5 linked regions of the Canis lupus familiaris genome follow. The protein of the gene in region 2 purifies or fractionates together with the protein of the main gene of each other region. This does not show direct contact. Links are inferred from orthologs where the notes say so. Each region holds a gene or a part of one and is shown on either strand. Other genes may lie near its edges. The genes, in order: PPP6C, AURKB, SEC16A, G3BP2 and CDC37.

The links.
Region 1: the proteins of AURKB (region 2) and PPP6C purify together in Homo sapiens (affinity purification with mass spectrometry, with the first as the bait; 3 studies listed by BioGRID). This does not show direct contact. The link is inferred for Canis lupus familiaris from reciprocal best matches to the Homo sapiens genes AURKB and PPP6C.
Region 3: the proteins of AURKB (region 2) and SEC16A purify together in Homo sapiens (affinity purification with mass spectrometry; 3 studies listed by BioGRID and IntAct, with this or other methods). This does not show direct contact. The link is inferred for Canis lupus familiaris from reciprocal best matches to the Homo sapiens genes AURKB and SEC16A.
Region 4: the proteins of AURKB (region 2) and G3BP2 purify together in Homo sapiens (affinity purification with mass spectrometry; 3 studies listed by BioGRID and IntAct, with this or other methods). This does not show direct contact. The link is inferred for Canis lupus familiaris from reciprocal best matches to the Homo sapiens genes AURKB and G3BP2.
Region 5: the proteins of AURKB (region 2) and CDC37 purify together in Homo sapiens (affinity purification with mass spectrometry; 7 studies listed by BioGRID and IntAct, counting the BioPlex papers as one, with this or other methods). This does not show direct contact. The link is inferred for Canis lupus familiaris from reciprocal best matches to the Homo sapiens genes AURKB and CDC37.

Annotation. Positions count from the first base shown.
Region 1 is NC_049230.1:57,997,683-58,001,444, forward strand, and holds part of PPP6C (serine/threonine-protein phosphatase 6 catalytic subunit), read left to right. Parts: intron 1-1,301; coding exon 1,302-1,367; intron 1,368-2,505; coding exon 2,506-2,647; intron 2,648-3,762.
Region 2 is NC_049226.1:33,219,129-33,222,302, reverse strand, and holds the end of AURKB (aurora kinase B), read left to right. Parts: intron 1-34; coding exon 35-137; intron 138-246; coding exon 247-301; intron 302-550; coding exon 551-742; intron 743-1,048; coding exon 1,049-1,187; coding exon of another isoform or gene 1,188-1,197; intron 1,198-1,302; coding exon 1,303-1,451; intron 1,452-2,012; coding exon 2,013-2,187; intron 2,188-2,354; coding exon 2,355-2,528; 3' UTR 2,529-2,658; downstream 2,659-3,174. UniProt on the Homo sapiens protein: Serine/threonine-protein kinase component of the chromosomal passenger complex (CPC), a complex that acts as a key regulator of mitosis.
Region 3 is NC_049230.1:49,050,018-49,053,779, forward strand, and holds part of SEC16A (protein transport protein Sec16A), read left to right. Parts: intron 1-336; coding exon 337-573; intron 574-1,064; coding exon 1,065-1,147; intron 1,148-2,037; coding exon 2,038-2,184; intron 2,185-3,762. UniProt on the Homo sapiens protein: Acts as a molecular scaffold that plays a key role in the organization of the endoplasmic reticulum exit sites (ERES), also known as transitional endoplasmic reticulum (tER).
Region 4 is NC_049253.1:39,960,745-39,964,506, forward strand, and holds part of G3BP2 (ras GTPase-activating protein-binding protein 2), read left to right. Parts: intron 1-833; coding exon 834-924; intron 925-1,757; coding exon 1,758-1,860; intron 1,861-2,368; coding exon 2,369-2,549; intron 2,550-3,527; coding exon 3,528-3,626; intron 3,627-3,762.
Region 5 is NC_049241.1:51,128,720-51,132,481, forward strand, and holds part of CDC37 (hsp90 co-chaperone Cdc37), read left to right. Parts: intron 1-2,329; coding exon 2,330-2,611; intron 2,612-2,955; coding exon 2,956-3,064; intron 3,065-3,177; coding exon 3,178-3,293; intron 3,294-3,378; coding exon 3,379-3,501; intron 3,502-3,762. UniProt on the Homo sapiens protein: Co-chaperone that binds to numerous kinases and promotes their interaction with the Hsp90 complex, resulting in stabilization and promotion of their activity. Inhibits HSP90AA1 ATPase activity.

The sequences.
Region 1 (3,762 bases), on a different chromosome or scaffold from region 2:
GAGGGTGTGGGGCAGAGGGAGAAGAGAGAAAATCCCAAGCAGACTTACTTGGGGCTCAGTCCCATGACCCTGAGATCAGTACCTGAGCCAAAACCATGAGTTGGACACTCAACTGACTGAGCCACCCAGGCGCCCTGAGAAGTATGGTCTCAAAGGGAAGGGCTTCACGTAGATAGAAATGGACAGCAAATATTTTGGACAAATAATAGTCTACCACTTGACTGAGATTTGAACATTTCATTTATTTGCTTGCTAATTTTAAGAAGGTAGGAAAATTTTATTTAAACTTCTAAAGTTTTTTTTTTAACTTCAAGCAAGTAATAACTTCAGATTTATGAAATATTGTTATAAAGGGCAGTGTTTTATTTCTTTGAGTAGTTAACATTTAAATTTCAGTTTTGTTCACTATGACTAAGATTCTTGTATGTTTTAAGTGTTAGAAATTGAATAATTTTATTTTCAAGTATAAAAGATGATTGTATAGGAAGTGATTAGTTATAGTTGGTACAGTAAATTATAGTAAATTCCTTTAATCCAAAATCCTTAGAAAAACTGAAGTTTTCTTTAGGAATTAGGATTAAGATAATCTAGTTGACTGAAGTTACCACATGTACAATTTGTCAATTACTAATTTTCAGTCACATAGAAAATGATGAAATATACAGTTCTTTTTTACTGATTATTGAGAAGACATTCCATAGCTATAGAGCCTCCAAAGTAGAATGTGGGAGGGTAGGTTGATCTGCTTTTCATGGTAACTGTGAAGTGTCGTGTAAATTCATTCTTTGAAAAAAATTCTTACCCACTTGCTTCCTTATCTTTTGTCTCATTAAAATAGATGCTGAGTATGGGTGGGGTGGTTAGCTTAGCTTATTAACAAGTTAGATAATTGATCAGTTATTTCAAATTCTCAAGTGATAGGGCACCTGGCTGACTCAGTCAATGGAGCATGTGACTCTTGATCTTGGGGTCATGAGTTCAAGCCTCATGTTGGGCATAGAGATTACTTAAAAAAATTCTAGATGACAAGATAAATGAAAGAAATTTGAGGGAGAAGGCCTATAACATTAATGATCTAGGAATGACCTTATTGGTAATTGTGAGATTTATTTTAGTGCTTCTATTAGGCTTGAGAGCTCTGTGCTTGGCAGTTTTGCTTACACTTTATTTCTTTTTATAAGTGTCAGTATTTCAGGCCTTCCTAATTACATGCTCCTTTACACATTTCGCTCTCACTTTTATTATTTTACTCCTTTACAGGAATTTGTAATTAATCAGCATATATTGACTTTCTTTTATAGTTTTATGACCTTTGCGAACTATTCAGAACTGGAGGTCAGGTTCCTGACACAAACTACATATTTATGGTATGTAAACCCACATGATACCAAATACTTATTTAAAATGGAAAGCATCTGATTTATTACATGGAAATTATATAACAATTTCTTTGTCATATGACAATCACTTTGTAAATATATGAAAAGGTGATGCTATACTTTTCTACATTTTGCCATCTTGTCTGGTTGAAAATGATTGCTTTAGTAAATTGCCATATGCATAGGACTGGGTTCTAGGCATAAGTAATGGTTGGCAGAAAAATAACCCAGAACCTCCCAGGATTAAGGCACAGAGCTTTAATTTACTGTTATTTTATCATATCTTCTTGAGCATTCATTTTCATCTGTTATCAATTTGTAGATTGATGAATATATGAACATACATATTTGCTATTAAGGTGGATATTTGCTTACTTTCCTTTTGGAATGTCATGTTACTATTGAATTTTTTATGAATCCTATCATTTTCTTTCTTCTAGAGGTTTGTGTGTCACTTTCCTATTCTTTGAGCTGTTTTCCTATTGATCTAACAACATTGTCCCAAATAAAATACTAATGGGAAGTGTAAGTAGTATGGCTTCACAAGCAGTTGTTAAATACACAACTGAACCTAAAACACTAATTAAGGTATATACTTTTATAAAAACACTATTTCTTCAAGTTGTTAGGTTTTTTTATATAGTTACAATGATTTTTGGGATGCCTGGCTGGGTCAGTCAGGAGAGTGTGTGACTTGATCTCAGGGTCATGAGTTTGAGCCCCACTTTGGGTGTAGAGATTACTTAAACATTTAAAAATAATAATTAAATGATTTTTGAAATTCATTAAAAAATTTTGGATTCACATGTGACCTTTTTGAAACACCTGCTAATGTAGGTAATAGAGAATTAGAAAAATGGTGGTTTTTCAGGGAAGATCCTTCAGAGAATTGGATAGCAGGTTCCTGTAGGCCTCCTGAATCATAAGACTGGCACACTTAGTAGAGACTGCTTATTTACTTCGATTTGAATTTTTTGTTAAAACCCAATTTCCAAATAAATCAATGTATGACCCTTCAATTTTGTTATTTTTTTTTTTTTGCCATGTCTCTGAGTTTGTACACCTTGGTATAATTTAAAAAATACATTGTTGCTATTATTTCTAACTGTAAACTTTTACTTTACAGGGTGATTTTGTAGACAGAGGTTACTATAGTTTGGAGACCTTCACTTACCTTCTTGCACTAAAGGCTAAATGGCCTGATCGTATCACACTTTTGCGAGGAAATCATGAAAGTAGACAGATAACACAGGTGTATGGATTTTATGGTAAGACTTTCTATTTCTCTGATTCTCTGAATATTGCTTTCCTTTCCTCTTTGGGAAAAAAGCCATACAAGTCATACATGTGCTTTATATAAAGTTAGAAATATAAATCATCTTTTTCCACTTTTTAACTCCTCCTCTTCCCCCATTCAACTGAGAACCTTACCATGGAGAGAGAACTGTTCTTAATTTTTTGATGTACATCATCCTGGATCATTGCCCTAAAGTGTAGCCCTCAGTTTACATCATTGGAATCATCAGGGGTACTTGTTAAACATGTACATTGCTGGGCCCCCACTGAAAACCTGTTGGAGTGGGAATCCTAGAATCTGCTGAAGGTAAATGTTCTGCACTTGAAAGTTGAGAACCTATTATATATTATATGTATATGTGTGTGTATGTGTGTGTTTATAAACATATTTGTGTGTGTACATACCTGCTTTTTTCACTTAATGCTGTGACCAGCCTTTCTTTACTTCATTGACATTATTTTTATAGTTGCATTATATTACACTGTATGGATGTACTATAATTGATTAAATCAGTACCTTTAACATTGGACATTGGAGTTGGGTTTTTTTTTTTTTTTTTGGAGTTGTTTTTAAGTTGCTGACATATATAATATTGTATGTGTATAACATATATAATTATGTATATATATGTGTGTGTATCCATATGTTCCATCCAGAGAGTGCTAGGACCTCAGGGGTCAGAAACAGAACTTAGCCATTAAAAGCAAAATATATCTGCTTCTATAAAACTTGTATATGGTTGAAAGTTTTAAAAAATGAAGTTAGGAAAAAAAATTAGGTTACAAAGCTCTTTGAAGGAGATAGAGAGCAGGACTGTTGAGGTTATTAACATGAATTTTCCTTAAGCTTAATTAAGGCATATATTGAGATATTTGAAAATATTAATCTCATAACCCTTTAGTTTCAGATTTTATATTTTGGATTCTCTTATGTCATTATAAAGATGAGCTAAACTCTTATTTGTAAGCCACTATCAATTACTAAATTGAGAAATTTTGATAATTTATTATTATATGTTAATAGTAATTGATAAGTTAGATGGCTAATATTTGTCCCCTTTTTACAAGTTACTTTTGATTTTCATTC
Region 2 (3,174 bases):
GGCATCCTCAGAGCTCCCCACTGCTCCTTCTCAGACTCAGCCTGGCCTGAACACCCTGCCCCAGAGAGTCCTCCGGAAGGACCCCGCCACCCCGTCTGCACTTGTCCTCATGAGCCGCTCCAATGGCCAGCCCACAGGTAACTGGGATGTGGTACAGGATTGAGGGGAGGCAACTAGAGTCTCCAGGGAGGGTGCAAGGCTGAAAATGTCAAAGGCGGGGCCTCAACTCACCTGTTGCTTCCTTAGCTGCCCCTGGCCAGAAGGTGGTGGAGAACAGCAGTGGGATACCCAACTTCTCAATGTGAGTACCCAAGCCTTGCTTGGGGTGGCACAAGAGAAGGTGGGACATGAGAGAGGTGGCCACCCAGGGGAGGAGCATGGATGCAGGAATGTGAGAAAGTCTAATTCCATCCTTAACTCATCCTCAACTCCCTGGGGAAAAGGGGCAGGGCTGAGCAGGGGCAGGCGGGCTGGGGGACAGGGGAGAATGTGGCCAGCTCGGGGGACCCACCAGCCACCACTTGGCCCCTTCCCCCCCACCTCCAATCAGGCGGTCCTTCACCATCGACGACTTTGAGATTGGGCGTCCTCTGGGCAAAGGCAAGTTTGGAAATGTGTACTTGGCTCGGGAGAAGAAAAGCCATTTCATCGTGGCTCTCAAGGTCCTCTTCAAGTCTCAGATAGAAAAGGAGGGCGTGGAACACCAGCTGCGCAGGGAGATTGAAATCCAGGCCCATCTGCAGTATGAGTCCTACCCTGCCACTGGCCCCAGGCCCTTTGCTCCTCCCCCAGCTCCTCTTTCACCCAACCTGCCCCATCCAGACTGCTCTGTACCTGTCCCAGAGCCCCTCTGAGCTCCCACTAAGCTCCCAGCCCCAGCCAGAGTCTTGAATCCAGAGAGCCACCTCTGGCTCCCCTTCACCACCACCAGCCCCACTGTCCCTGGTCTGGTCCAGATGTGACCCCAGTGTGTTCCCCCTGCCACTGTCATCGTTCCCATTTCCTTAGGCCAGGATGCCGCCTGAGTCCCCGTCCCTGTCTCCCGCAGGCATCCCAACATCCTGCGTCTCTACAACTATTTCTACGACCGGAGAAGGATCTACTTGATTCTGGAGTATGCCCCCCGAGGGGAGCTCTACAAGGAGCTGCAGAAAAGCCACACTTTCGACGAGCAGCGAACAGCCACGGTCGGGGAGGGTGGGCACTTGGGGCCTCCAAGGGGGCCGAGCCTGGGGGTCCGCTGCGTGGAGCTGTAGCGGGGGCAGCCTTGGCTAACCTGCTGTCATTCGTTGGCCCCCCCAGATCATGGAGGAGCTGGCGGATGCTCTGATGTACTGCCACGGGAAAAAGGTGATTCACAGAGACATAAAGCCAGAGAATCTGCTCTTGGGGCTCCAGGGAGAGCTGAAGATCGCTGACTTTGGCTGGTCCGTGCACGCCCCCTCCCTAAGGTACGGTGTGAATGGTGGGGGGGGGCATTCAGAATAATACTACTCCAGGCCTTGTTACCCAGACATGTGTGGGCTCGTCCACGCGTACCTATAGACGCGGCACTCGACTTACAAAAATAGGAGCCTCACAATTCTGCTGCCCAGACTTCCTACCTGGTATACTGGGGGACCCACTCATCGTGTCGCCCAGCTCATTTGTAATGACCTCGTAGCAGTATTGTAGCTAGATGTGTAACCTGGTCCATTTCTGCAGGACATGCCTGATGCACCTTGAGGCGTCCCCACCCAGTTTTCCCGTTAATTTTAAGATTAATTCTAAAAGCATTGCTCTTAGATCTGATTATTTTGAGACACGTCCCTCCCCATGGAAATGCCAAGAGGGTGTGTAATGCTACCCCTGGGGCTCCAGGTTATATCTTCACCCTACTCCTGCCCAAGGGCCCTGCCGGGAGTTTGGTCAAAACACTCCCCTGGCACATCCTGGGGTCGTCCGGCTCCCTGTTGGGCAGCTGGGGAAAGAGGGAGGTGGTCTTCATCCAGGTCCCCCACCCTCCCACCCAGGAGGAAGACGATGTGCGGCACCTTGGACTACCTGCCTCCAGAAATGATTGAAGGGCGCATGCACAACGAGAAGGTGGACCTGTGGTGCATCGGGGTGCTCTGCTATGAGCTGCTGGTGGGCAACCCGCCATTCGAGAGCGCTTCTCACAATGAGACCTATCGGCGCATCGTCAAGGTGGGAGGGTGCCCCAGTGCCTGGCTGGGGCTTTGTGCCCACTTAGGGGGGGCCAGGGGCTGGCAGGTGCAGGGGTCCTGTGTAATTTCTCCAAATGGAATGGGGGTGGTCAAGGAGGAAGCAGCTGGGATCGAGCTAAGGGGACCCTCCTTCCTCTCCTTCTGCAGGTGGACCTGAAATTCCCCCCTTCTGTACCCACGGGAGCCCAGGACCTCATCTCCAAGCTACTCAAGCACAACCCTTCAGAACGGCTGCCCCTGTCCCAGGTCTCAGCCCACCCTTGGGTCCGGGCCCACTCTCGGAGGATGCTGCCTCCCTCTGCCGTCCAGGCCATCCCCTGACTTGTCCCTATCACTTATTCGGTTGTGTCTGTCTGTTTGCCTGTATATGTGTAGTTGGAAGAAGGGGTGCCTGGCCTGTTTTTACCTGTCTTCTACCTCCTTTTTATTTAATAAAGGCTGAAACTTTTTATACGGATGAGTTTAGATGCTTACAGGTGGAGACTGCTGGGGGTGGGGGGTGCTTCCCCAGAGGGAGAGGATGGGGCCTGGCGGGCACTGCACCACCTACCCTCGTTCTCAGCACCTCCCCATGTTGCTTCTCCCTGCTCTGACTCCCAGGGCCTGGCTGCTGGGGCCTGGGCTCCCCTCTGCTGCTCCTGGACTCCCACTGCCTCATGTGCTGCATCTAGTCTTTCCTTCTGGTTCAGTCTCTGCCAACTGAACATAGCTGCACCCTAGAAGCCGTGTTTATTTTCCTGCTCTGGTCAGGATCTAGTATAGGGCACAAAGAAGTTACATAGTCCCTAAAATCACACACCCAGACAGTGGCAGAGCCCAGTTTTAAAGTCCATATCTGGGGGCACCTGGGTGGCTCAGTGACCGAGCAGCTGCCTTCGGCTCCAGGCGTGATTCCAGGTCCTGGGATCCAGTCCCGCATCAGGCTCCCCGCAGGGACCTGCTTCTCCCTCTGCCTATGTCTCTGCCT
Region 3 (3,762 bases), on a different chromosome or scaffold from region 2:
GGGAGGGATCCACGAACACTGAGTTCTGTTGCAGGCAGCTGTTCCCCAGGCTGCATTGGGGTCTCGCTGAGTCTTAAAGCCTGGGCCCCATGTAACATTTAATGACATCCTCCTCTTGACCTTAAAAGTTTGTGTTCTGCTTTTCCCCAAATCACTGATGCCCTGGCATCGTCAGCACTTTCTGTCTTGACGATTTGCTCCCTGGGCCCGTAACAAAAGAAACGTGGCCGCACAAAAGGATGTGATAAACTTTTGGCCACCACCAGTTAGCTTCTTCAAGTGATTGGAGTTAGCACCAGTGACGGCAGGCTTCTGTTCTCTGCTCTCTTGCTGCAGCTCCGTCAACGCTCCCTGCCAGCCAGCCAGTCGTCCCTGCCAGGGTGCCACTGTTCCCGGTGCTGCCACCTGAGGGCCCTGTTGAGCTGGGGCCTAGCTGTGGACCCCAAGGGGCTGCCCTTGGCTTTCCAGAGCCCTCTGGGCCTGACCCTGTGGCTCCGTACCTGGGGCCTGGCCTGCCACCTGGTGTGCCACCTCTGCAGGGAAGTGAGCAGGAGGCCAGGACCCAGGACCCAGGTAGGCCTGCTTGATGCCACCCCGAGAGCAGAACTGTAGTGGGTTTGGCATTCAAGGAGAGGATTGGTGGAAAAGCCATAAGTCATTTGGACTTGAGACAAGTTCCCTAGCCAGGGCATGCTGAGGATCCTGGAAGCGGTAGGCTGGGTGGCTCATGGATGTCAGTGCTCATTTGTTTTGTGATGTGGCTGCGTGTTAGAGTAAGGAGGGTAAGTGGGCATCCAGCTGTGGCAAGCTGGCCTTGAGCTGTGCCCAGGCCAAAGCCTCCTCCACAATTGATATGGTTCTTGTGCCGGTGGGCGCCTGCCTGCCTGTGCACCCACAAACAAAGCAAAACACTGGCCTGGCTTTCAAAAGGAAGCTATTTTGGGAACATCTCTGGTTTTGGGCTCCGAGCACTGCTGTATTGTGAGCGCGTCCGTCTGCCATGTGCTGTGGTCTCTGTGCTGTGTCAGCATAGAGACCACGGCAGTTCTCTCTTCTCTTGACAGGGGTGTTGCCACCAGAGGCGCTTGGTAGAAACTCACTTCTGGAGCTGAGAGAAGAGGGTTTTGGTGGAAAATTTGCTAATCTGGTACCCTCCCACTTTTTTCCCCTAAGCTCTTTGTTTTCCATAAGTTGCGTTGATCAGGAGCCCAAACTTGTTCTCCAGTTGTGAGTAGGGGGAGAACGGTGTAAACAAGATTATCTTTGAAGTTGCTCCTCAGCAGGAGAGCACTTGTAAGGTAGCTCGAACCCTCACAGTGTGAACGGTCGGTGGAAACTGCTGAGGAGGATGATCACTTGGTGTACAGACAGTCCCTTCTCTAAAACGTAGAGGCCTCCCAGGTTCTGCACCCCTTTCTCTGCAGTAGAATCCCGGAAACGCACTGGTTGTCCTGAAATCACCGAGTTTCTTAGACGTGTTGGGTAGACATACCGGGTCTGCTGCTCTGGCCCCAGCGGAGAGGGACACCTGGTTTTCTGCGCCGTGGGTCCCGCAGCCTTCTTCCCACAAACCCAGGCCTTTGTGGCCACGCTGTCACAGGCACTTACTGTACTTTAAACTTTCCTTATGTGTTCTGCCATGAAAATGCTTTATTTTCACGTAAAAAGAGTTTATAAAAGAGACAGTCTTCACTCAGCCATGTGTATTTTAAAGAAAAAAAAAAGAATCTTGTGTTTTAAAATGTTCCCTGCCCCTCTCTGCCCAGCAGCCCATTGGTGCTCACATGCACACCCCTTCTTCCAGCCCATGGGTGCCTCCTGGACTCCATGGTCCCCCTGCCACGTGCCTTGGCACGTTATGAGTCCTGCCACGTGCCTTGACCAGGTTGCTTGTAAGAGCAGGTCCGGAGGCAGGGGCAGCTGCCTCCTGCCCTCCTCACTCTGCTCTTGTCGCTAGTGATATGGCCCCTTGGTAATGCTTTAAAGGGTCCTGGGGAGGTGCCCCAGGTGAACCTGTCCCCTCTTGCCTTGGGACAGGGCCCCTCCAGGATGTCCCAGGACTCTGAGGTCCCTCCAGGGTGGGAGTGTGCCAGCTCAGGTGCTCTGCAGCCACCACTGACGTCCGCTCCCGAAGTGAAGAGACCTACACAAGCAGCCAGGAAAGAGGCCAAGGAGCCTAAGAAGGTGACACAGAGCCCACCTCCAGCAGGGTGGGGGCGCCTGGGGAGGGGGCTCAGCTCCCACAGACAACTTTCCTCCTACACTGGCAGTGGGACAAAGGCATTGGAAGCGTGCTATGCGGACAGGGAGGTGTGCACAGCTTAATGTGTGTTTGTGTGTCTGTCCCCGTATAACCACCACCCAGAGCATAGCTGGAGCAGGGCCAGCCTCCCAGAAGGCTCTGTATCCAGGGCCTGTCAAGGCCCACCCCTAACAGATGGCCTTCTCTGACTTTTGTCACCATTAGTTTCTCTTATACCAGAACTTCCTATAACAGTGCTTAATTTTTAAGTCATTGTATAATAGTATCTGTTTTATGTAGGTGCTATAATTTTGTTCGTCCTTTTTTCCAGTAATGGACATTTGCGGTTTTTCAGTTTGGGGTCATTACGTGAAACCCATGTGAGCGTTCTCTGTCTTCTGTTGGCGAAAGCGCTCGTTTCTCTCAGGGAGGTGCCTCCAGGCCATTTTCCTGGACGGTTGTACTGGGTGACCTTCCCCCCAGCAGAGCCGGAGGGGCCCAGTCATTCCTTGTCACCAGCAGGGCGATCCTTGTTCCCCATGCGCACTGGGTTGTCGGGCCTTTCCACAGCAGCCTCTCAGCGGGGGCTCATGGTGCTTCCTAATGCTCTCGCTTTGCTTCCTTGCCCAGCACCTTTGTCATGTGCCGTTACCACCTGTGTGTTTTCCTTTGTAGTGTTGGCTTGTGTCTCACCCGCTTTCATGTCCTGGCCACGAGTCCTCTGTGAGATGTGTGCGTCACCAGGATCTTCCCTCAGTCTGCAGACCACCTTTTTACTCTCAATGTTAGCTTACGTAGGACACATTCTTAATTTTCATGCAGTTCAGCATATCGAATTTTTTTTAATGGTTAGTGGTTTCTGGTGGTTTTTTTGTTGTTGTTTTTTCAAGATGTATCCATTTTAGAAACAGTGAGAGCAGGCACTCGGGGGAGGAGCAGAGGGAGACCCAAGCAGACTCTCTAAAGGGCCCTGACTTGGGGCTCAATCCCACAGCTCAGATCTTGGCTTAAGCCGAAACCAAGAGTCAGATGCTCAACCCACTAGGCTGCCCAGGTGTCCCTTAATGGCCAGCATCGTTAAGGAAACACAAGTTTAATTCAGAGTGTGCATGGGCCTGGGCTAAAATATGACGCTCTGACCCGTTGTGAGCGTGCAGACTGTGTCGCCTCCACCGTGGAGCTCAGAGTGGCGGGTTTGAGAACACACACACCTGCTGCTTCCTTGTTTCTCCATATTTTAGATAAACTGAAGTATAGCGTATGAAGAATAAGGTAAGCGTCCCTGACACCTAAATCCACCCAGCATAGGACGCAGGGCGACAGACTGTGTTGAGGAGGTCCCACAGGACATTCCCAGCCTGCTCGCCACTGCTTAGTCCAGAACAATGCCAGAATCTGCCACTCGTTGGCATTTAGACAGGATAAGCTCTAAAAGGCTCAGTGTTCAGATGTTTTAATTGTGGCAAAATACACGTAACATAAAACTTAGCATTTTTAAGGTCATGGTTCTATGGTGTTAG
Region 4 (3,762 bases), on a different chromosome or scaffold from region 2:
CTCTACTGATTGCCTATCATTGACCAGAAACCATACTGATTGTATAAATAGTCATTTAATACATATTATATAGTTTATATGTATTCTATAATTCTACATTGTATTCTTACAATAAAGTAGGCTAGAGAAAGAAAAATATTACATAAAAAAATACATTTACAGTAACTCTCAGAAAAAAATCATGTGTAAGTGGAGTCATGCAGTTCAAACTTGTGTTGTTCAAGGGTCAACTGTAATTTATTTGAGCTTTGTGTGTGTGTATACACTTTGCCTATCTTTTTAATTTCTTTTCACTTTGCCTATTTAGAAGTAAAAGTCTATTGATACAAATAACAATAGATGACTAAGATTACAGGAATAATATAAAATCTTACTTAGTAATTTCTATGTTAAAATGGCAATGTATCATTTGTTAATCAGTCTTGGTTCTCTGTTGAGTAGCCGTTTCTTGAGTTCCAGTATTTGAATGGTCTACAGTATACTTTATATTAATATAGCATGTTCTATTCTAGAAAATTATATGTAGTCTACATTATATTTTATAGTGTTAAAATAGATATTGCGGGTATCTGGGTAGCTCAGTCATTAAGCATCTGCCTTTGGCTTAGATCCTGATCCCAGAGTCCTGGGATTGAGCCCCAATTGGGCTCTCTGCTCAGTGCTGAGCCTGGTTTCCCTCTGCCTGCCTCTGTCTCTCTCTCTCTCTCTCTCACGAATAAACAAAATTAAAAAAAAAAAAAAAAGATTTTGCATGTGCCATGTAATTTGTTCTTTTTATTCATTGTCACGTTTGTGTGTATTTAATGGAATATTTGGATTTCATTTTCCTGTAGGGATCTGTTCCAAATAAGTTTTATGTTCATAATGATATGTTTCGTTATGAAGATGAAGTGTTTGGTGATTCTGAACCAGAACTTGATGAAGGTGAGGTTAAGATAGGCGGCTTCTATTGGTACTCGTTAAGGGCATGAAAAGTATGAAACTTTATTTATTTATTTATTTATTTATTTATTTTAAGTATGAAACTTAAAAAAAAAAAGTATGAAACTTCAAGAAATTTACTGCTATTGTAACTGAGTCAAGCCCCCTTTTCTTCCTTTTGTTAAAAAGAAATGTGTTCATTGTATGAAATTATATAAAAATCAGACATAGAAAGTAAACCAAATTTCATTCTTATCCTTTATATATAATCAAGAATTTTGTTGAGTCATATCCTTAGCAATATATATTTTTGTAAAAATGGAATTGTGGTGGTTCAAAGCTTTTTTCCACTTAATATATCTTTGTTAACTGTCAATTTTTTGGCTATATCATAATTATTTACTATATGTATATTTGGTTTGATTATACTATTGAATAGATGGGACATAGGAAACTGAGTTATGGTTTAATATCATTTATTTCCTGCCCTTTTCTAATTTTTAGATATTTTTTTAAAAATAGGGACACCTGGGTGGCTCAGTCAGTTAAGTATCGACTCTTGATCTTGGCTCAGGTCATGATCTCATGATCATGAGTTCGACTCTGTGTTGGGCTCCACGTTGGGTGTAGAACCTACATAAAAAAATAATAAAAATGGAGTAAATACCAAAATTCATCTTGCTTGCTCTTTAATTGTTAAGAGAACAGAGAATGCTGCATTTGAGCACCTTAGTGAGAAATAGGTCAATTTTTAAAACTTACCACTTAAACATTAAAAGTATGCATATGAAATTGTTGAGCCTCTTGAAAAAGAAATGTGTGTTATGTATTGTCAGAATCAGAAGATGAGGTAGAAGAGGAACAAGAAGAAAGGCAACCATCTCCAGAACCTGTGCAAGAAAATGCTGATAGTGGTTACTATGAAGCTCACCCCGTGGCGTAAGAATAGTGTTTGCAAGGCCAGATTTGGTCTAAACTATAATGTAGTTGCAAGGTGGTTTTTGTTACTGGAATTACTATTAGAAGTAAATTTTTGATAAAGGTATCAGGCCAGTATTTGAGTACTTTATATATATATATGTAAGAAATTTTAGAAAGAGTTGTTTTATTTACATAACAAATCGAATATGGTTTTGCCCAAAACAGTGTTTACTTACTGATAAGAATAGTTAGGAATACACAGAGCATTTCATTTTTATAAAAACGAGGTTTATTTATAGTTAGTATTCAAGTAAATATTTTTAGTAATTTAACAATCCCATTTTAAAATGGCAGGGTTAAAGAAATGCTGCTTAAGACTATTATTCCCTTCTGCCTTCTTATTGGACTTCTGCTTCAAATCAGCTTATTACCAGTTATGGCCATTAGATTAGAGAAATATTACATTGTTTTATTACAACTGATCATTTCGCTCATACTGAAAAATGAACAAAATATTTTATTTTAGTAATGGCATAGAGGAGCCTTTGGAAGAATCCTCTCATGAACCTGAACCTGAGCCAGACTCTGAAACAAAGACTGAAGAACTAAAGCCACAAGTAGAGGAGAAGAACTTAGAAGAGTTAGAGGAGAAGTCTACTTCTCCTCCTCCTGCAGAACCTGTTTCTCTGCCACAGGAACCACCAAAGGTTAGATCAAAGGAAGTCTTTAGGCCTATAACAGCACACTTTCACATTTGGTGCCATTGATGAAGCATGACCTTTGTTCTCTTATGTTAAATGGTTTAATATAGTAAACTGTGCTTTTTAATGTTTATGGGAGCTGTGGGGTTTTTGTAATCCTGAGGGAATTTCTTTGTATTCATGCCCCGCAACCCCCCAAAATACCCCTGAGAGTGAAACTTATGATTGATCCTTGTCTGTATGCAGTGTTTATTTAGTCTCTTACATGAAATTATTTGAGTCCATGTATAAAGCTGAGAGTTGCTCTTCCATTCTGTATAAGTCCTCTATGCACGGATGCAACTGGAGTCATGAAGTTGCCCAACTTAAACAAGTTGGGCTATTAAAAGAAGAGATACATGTTATTTCTGGTTAAAATGGGAGCAATTTCCTTACTACACCTATTAAACTGTCTTGGAAAGATACGTGACACCCATAGTGTATCATTTAAGCCTACCTAAAACATCTTTTATCTTTCTGTAAAGTAGGTTAAAATATATATGGGTAGTGAGAGGAGATTCCTTGTTTAATTTGTGAATGTCTGTTAAAGTTCCAGTGAGTACTCTTCTTTCCTATCCTTCCCCTCAACACCATCACACACCTTACTTTCCCCCAAAAGGGGAAAGAAATTGGTTCTATTAGGTTCTTATTTTTCTAGCATGTGTAGTTAGTGGTTTTGTTTGCCATTGATCATCTCCTTAGAGCATATAGGAACTTGCTTGTGGATTTATTTAGTAGTTCAGACAAAACAAATAATCTTGCAAAATGAGATTTTGAAAGCTGGCACATAGACTGGCATGTGTGTGTGTGCCTTTCCTTTGAGGAGTCCTCCAATATAGAACAATAGTTTAGAAATGAAAAGAAAATATATATTTGGAAGTTTCCCTATAGGAATGTTGGTGGTTTTCCATGATTAGTAGTCTAGGTTTGTTGCATTTCCTGCAGGCTTTCTCCTGGGCTTCAGTGACCAGTAAAAACCTGCCTCCTAGTGGTACTGTTTCTTCCTCTGGAATTCCACCCCATGTTAAAGCACCAGTCTCACAGGTAACCAATCTGTGAACACATTGGATTGTATCCTTGTTACATTGCCAATTGCTTATCTTTTTTTATACTTCTTTAAATGAGTCAATCAAATTATGGATTAAATATACAAAAAAATTGTATTAAATGTCAGTGCACC
Region 5 (3,762 bases), on a different chromosome or scaffold from region 2:
AGTCCTGTGGGGCTAAGTTAGAGAAGGCTCAAGGCTTCCCCATTCTCACCTACTGCGTGCCTGACTCTGCTCAAACTTGGAGATACAGCCTCAGAGAAGGCCCAGAAGTGAGTGAGTGAACCACTCTGGGGCCAGTGGCCAGGATGGTGACGCTAACAGCGGAATGTGTTCATTACGTAGGACTGCGTGCAGTTTCCTGGGAGTAACTCCTTTGATGCTGCGTTTTTCCCAAAGAGGAACTAACTCCAAGGCTAGAAGTGTTTAAGTGTCTTAGCCAAGGTCACGTCACCAGTACGCGGTGGAGCTGGGTGATGTGACAGTGCGGTAACAACCACTCCCAGGTATTGAGCATGTGCTCTGGGTTGGAAATTGATGGAAACACTCGAAGTATGCTTTCTTGTTTGAGCCCCAGAATGGTCAAGAGAGAGAGAGAGATTGTCCCCTTGGATAGTAATGGCAGTCGCCACCACGGGAATGGTGCTTGCCGAGCATCCAGCATGGCTCTGGACTGTCTACTTTGACTTAAATCTCCTTTGCTTCTCCTGGTGCCGCTCGGTGAGGTCGGTACTGTTGTCTGCCTTTGACAGATGAGGAAACGGAGGTCCCTAGAGGTCAGGGGATTGACCCAAGGACCCCAGCCTATACTCAGTAGCCACGGCTTATGACTCCACATCTGGGGCCCTGAGGCTGTTCTCCAGTGTCTTATCATGCTGTCTGATGATCTTAAAGGGGGCTTTGAGGCACAGTGATGGGGAATGGGGGGCCCTTGGGGAAGGCTCTGTAGAAGCTGAGACCTGGGGCCAAAGGACATGGAGTGAGAGGAAGAGAGTTCCAGGTAGAAGGAGCAGCCTTTGCAGAGTCCAAGAGTCAAGAGCGAGCTGGTGCATTTGGGATCTGCCTGCAACCTAGAATTGGGAAAGGAGAATGGGACCCTGGCCCCCTGGGGCCTTGGTGCCACTTGGGCAGCTTGGAGTAAGGCTTTGGGATCCCATCTGAGCGTAGACGCTCCAGGTTGGGGTGGCAAGAAGGGCTGCAGACAGATGTGCGAATTTCCAAGACTGGCAGTCTAGCTTGGAACAGCTGTGGAAGGTGGTGGCACCTCTCAGGGCTCAGTCAGGGGCTTTGGATTGAGCAGGCACTGCTGAGAGCTGGGGGAGATGATGGAGCAAAGCAAGGGTGGAGGACAGACAGGGCCATGTCATGTTGTAGAGAGTCTTGTGGGGACCGGAGCGAGAGGGGGAACGAGGGCACCATCTGAACTTGGGGTGCAACAGCAGAGGAGGTCTGGGGAGCAACAGCTGGGGTAGGGGGGACAGGAGGCCGGTGGGCACCGAGCTAAGGCTCAGGGTGGGTGTGCTGGCCCGGAGACATAGCTGATGGGGCCTTGGGCAGCCATCCAGGAGTAGTTCTCTGGGTGGACCAAATTGGAGAGACTTCTAGAAGCGAAAGCTGTCAGGACTGGGTAGGAAAGAGGGAGGAAAGGACAGGACCAGTGAACAGGCCTCAGTGGGGGGCATCGGAGGTTGTTGGGCAAGGGAGGGCACCTGAGTGTCACTGAGGGCGGCTCCGGGGAGGACGAGTGGCCTGAGACCCCCATCCAGTATTTCCTTACTTTATTCATCCAACAAGTGTCTCCTGAGCCTTGACTGTGCACTTGTGTGTGAGACACAAGTGAGCAGATCCCCCATCTCTAGGGACCCCACTCCTCAGAGAGGGACAGTGTTGAGAACAGTAAATAATTGTCACCAGGTTGCCACCAGATGCTAGCAGGTAATGAGTGCTGAGGAGGAAGGTGAAACAGGGCACAAGTAAGGGGAGGTTGCCATCTTCATTCAGCAGGGTGGTCAGGGAAGGGCCTCATCTGTAAAGTGATGTTTGAGCCAAGATGGCAAGGATGTGAGGGAGTAAGCTGGTTTGGGTGCCAGTGGGGGGAGTCTGGAGAGAGAACTTTCCAGGCTGGGGCAACAGCTAGTGCAAAGGCCCTGAGTTTAGAAGTGGGTTCAAGAAAAGACAAAGCAGCTACTGTGACTGGAGGGAGGGGGCAGATTGTGCAGGGCCTTGTAGGTCATAGATAGGACTTGGTTTTCTGCTCTGAGTGACATGGATGCCACAGAGCCTTCTGAGCAGGGTTGGGGGTGGACACACACAAAGTAAGGTGTGTGCAGGTATCCTGGTGGGATGGAAGCTGCCCCCCCAGGGGGGCACAGAGGGTGGTGCACACATTCCCTGAGGCCATCCCAGGTGCAGGGGGTGGGAGCCCTGGGTGGGGCAGGGCCGAGGTCAAGGGACCAGCCTTTCCCCGGAGTGCAGGGCTTGTGTCTGCCCGCAGGCCCGGGTGGAGCGCATGGAGCAGTTCCAGAAGGAGAAGGAGGAGCTGGACAGGGGCTGCCGCGAGTGCAGGCGCAAGGTGGCTGAGTGCCAGCGGAAGCTGAAGGAGCTGGAGGTGGCCGAGGGCGAGGGCAGCAAGGTGGAGCTGGAACGGCTGCAGGCCGAGGCTCAGCAGCTGCGCAAGGAGGAGCGGAGCTGGGAGCAGAAGCTGGAGGAGATGCGCAAGAAGGAGAAGAGCATGCCCTGGAACGTGGACACGCTCAGCAAGGACGGTTTCAGCAAGGTGGGAGGGGGCCAGCAGGGTTCCCCCCATGCAGGGGCTGGTGGGGTAGGTGGGGGTAAGGCCTGGACAGCTCAAGGGAGGGACGCCCTGGCATGGAGAGGGTGGAGGGACAGGTGTGGGGCTGGGTGGATGAAGCACCCCACTGGTACCCCCCTCTGATCTGCCCGAAGGCCCTAGTTCGAGGCCACACCTGCCACACCCACGCTCCCGCCACACTGATGCTCATGGCGCCGTCACCACCTCCGCCGTGGAAGGGATGGGCGCTGCGGCCTCGGCCCACCCGGCCGTGCTGGAGGCGCTCTGCGGCCTCGCCCCAGCCCACTCCCCCTCTCGCCCCATCACAGAGCATGGTCAATACCAAACCAGAGCAGGCGGAGGAGGAGTCGGAGGAGGTGAGGGAGCAGAAACACAAAACCTTCGTGGAGAAGTACGAGAAACAGATCAAGCACTTTGGTGAGTTGGGCCGTTGGAGGGGGCCGGCAGGCTAAGGTTAGGAGGTTACACAGGACAGGGGCTGGTCCTCTGCCTCTGGGGCCCCTCAGCACCTTGCCAACACCTTCTCGTAGGCATGCTCCGCCGCTGGGATGACAGCCAGAAGTACCTATCAGACAATGTCCACCTGGTGTGCGAGGAGACAGCCAACTACCTGGTCATCTGGTGCATTGACCTAGAGGTGGAGGAGGTGAGTGGAGTCTACCCCGGGACTAGGGGAAAGCCCTGCCCTGAGGCCACCACTTGGTGACATCCTACCTCTTCTCCCTTGGCAGAAATGTGCACTCATGGAGCAAGTGGCCCACCAGACCATTGTCATGCAGTTCATCCTGGAGCTGGCTAAGAGCCTGAAGGTGGATCCCCGTGCCTGCTTCCGGCAGTTCTTCACTAAGATCAAGGTAGTGTCCCCGAGGAGCCAGGGTCGGGTGGGGTGTGGGCCTCTTCAAGGCACCAGCCTCCATCTACAGGGGGTATATACAAAGGTCCATTCAGACTTGGGGCCGTGGGATCAGAACCTGTTCGATCAGGGGAGGCTGGAGACATGGAGGGGCCAGTAGTCAGCCCCCGGTTTGAAAGACGGGGTGTGTGGACAGTCCCGACGTGGGGTGAGGGACAGAGTCAAGGATGCCTTAGGGTTCCCTCACCTGAGCACCTGGAAG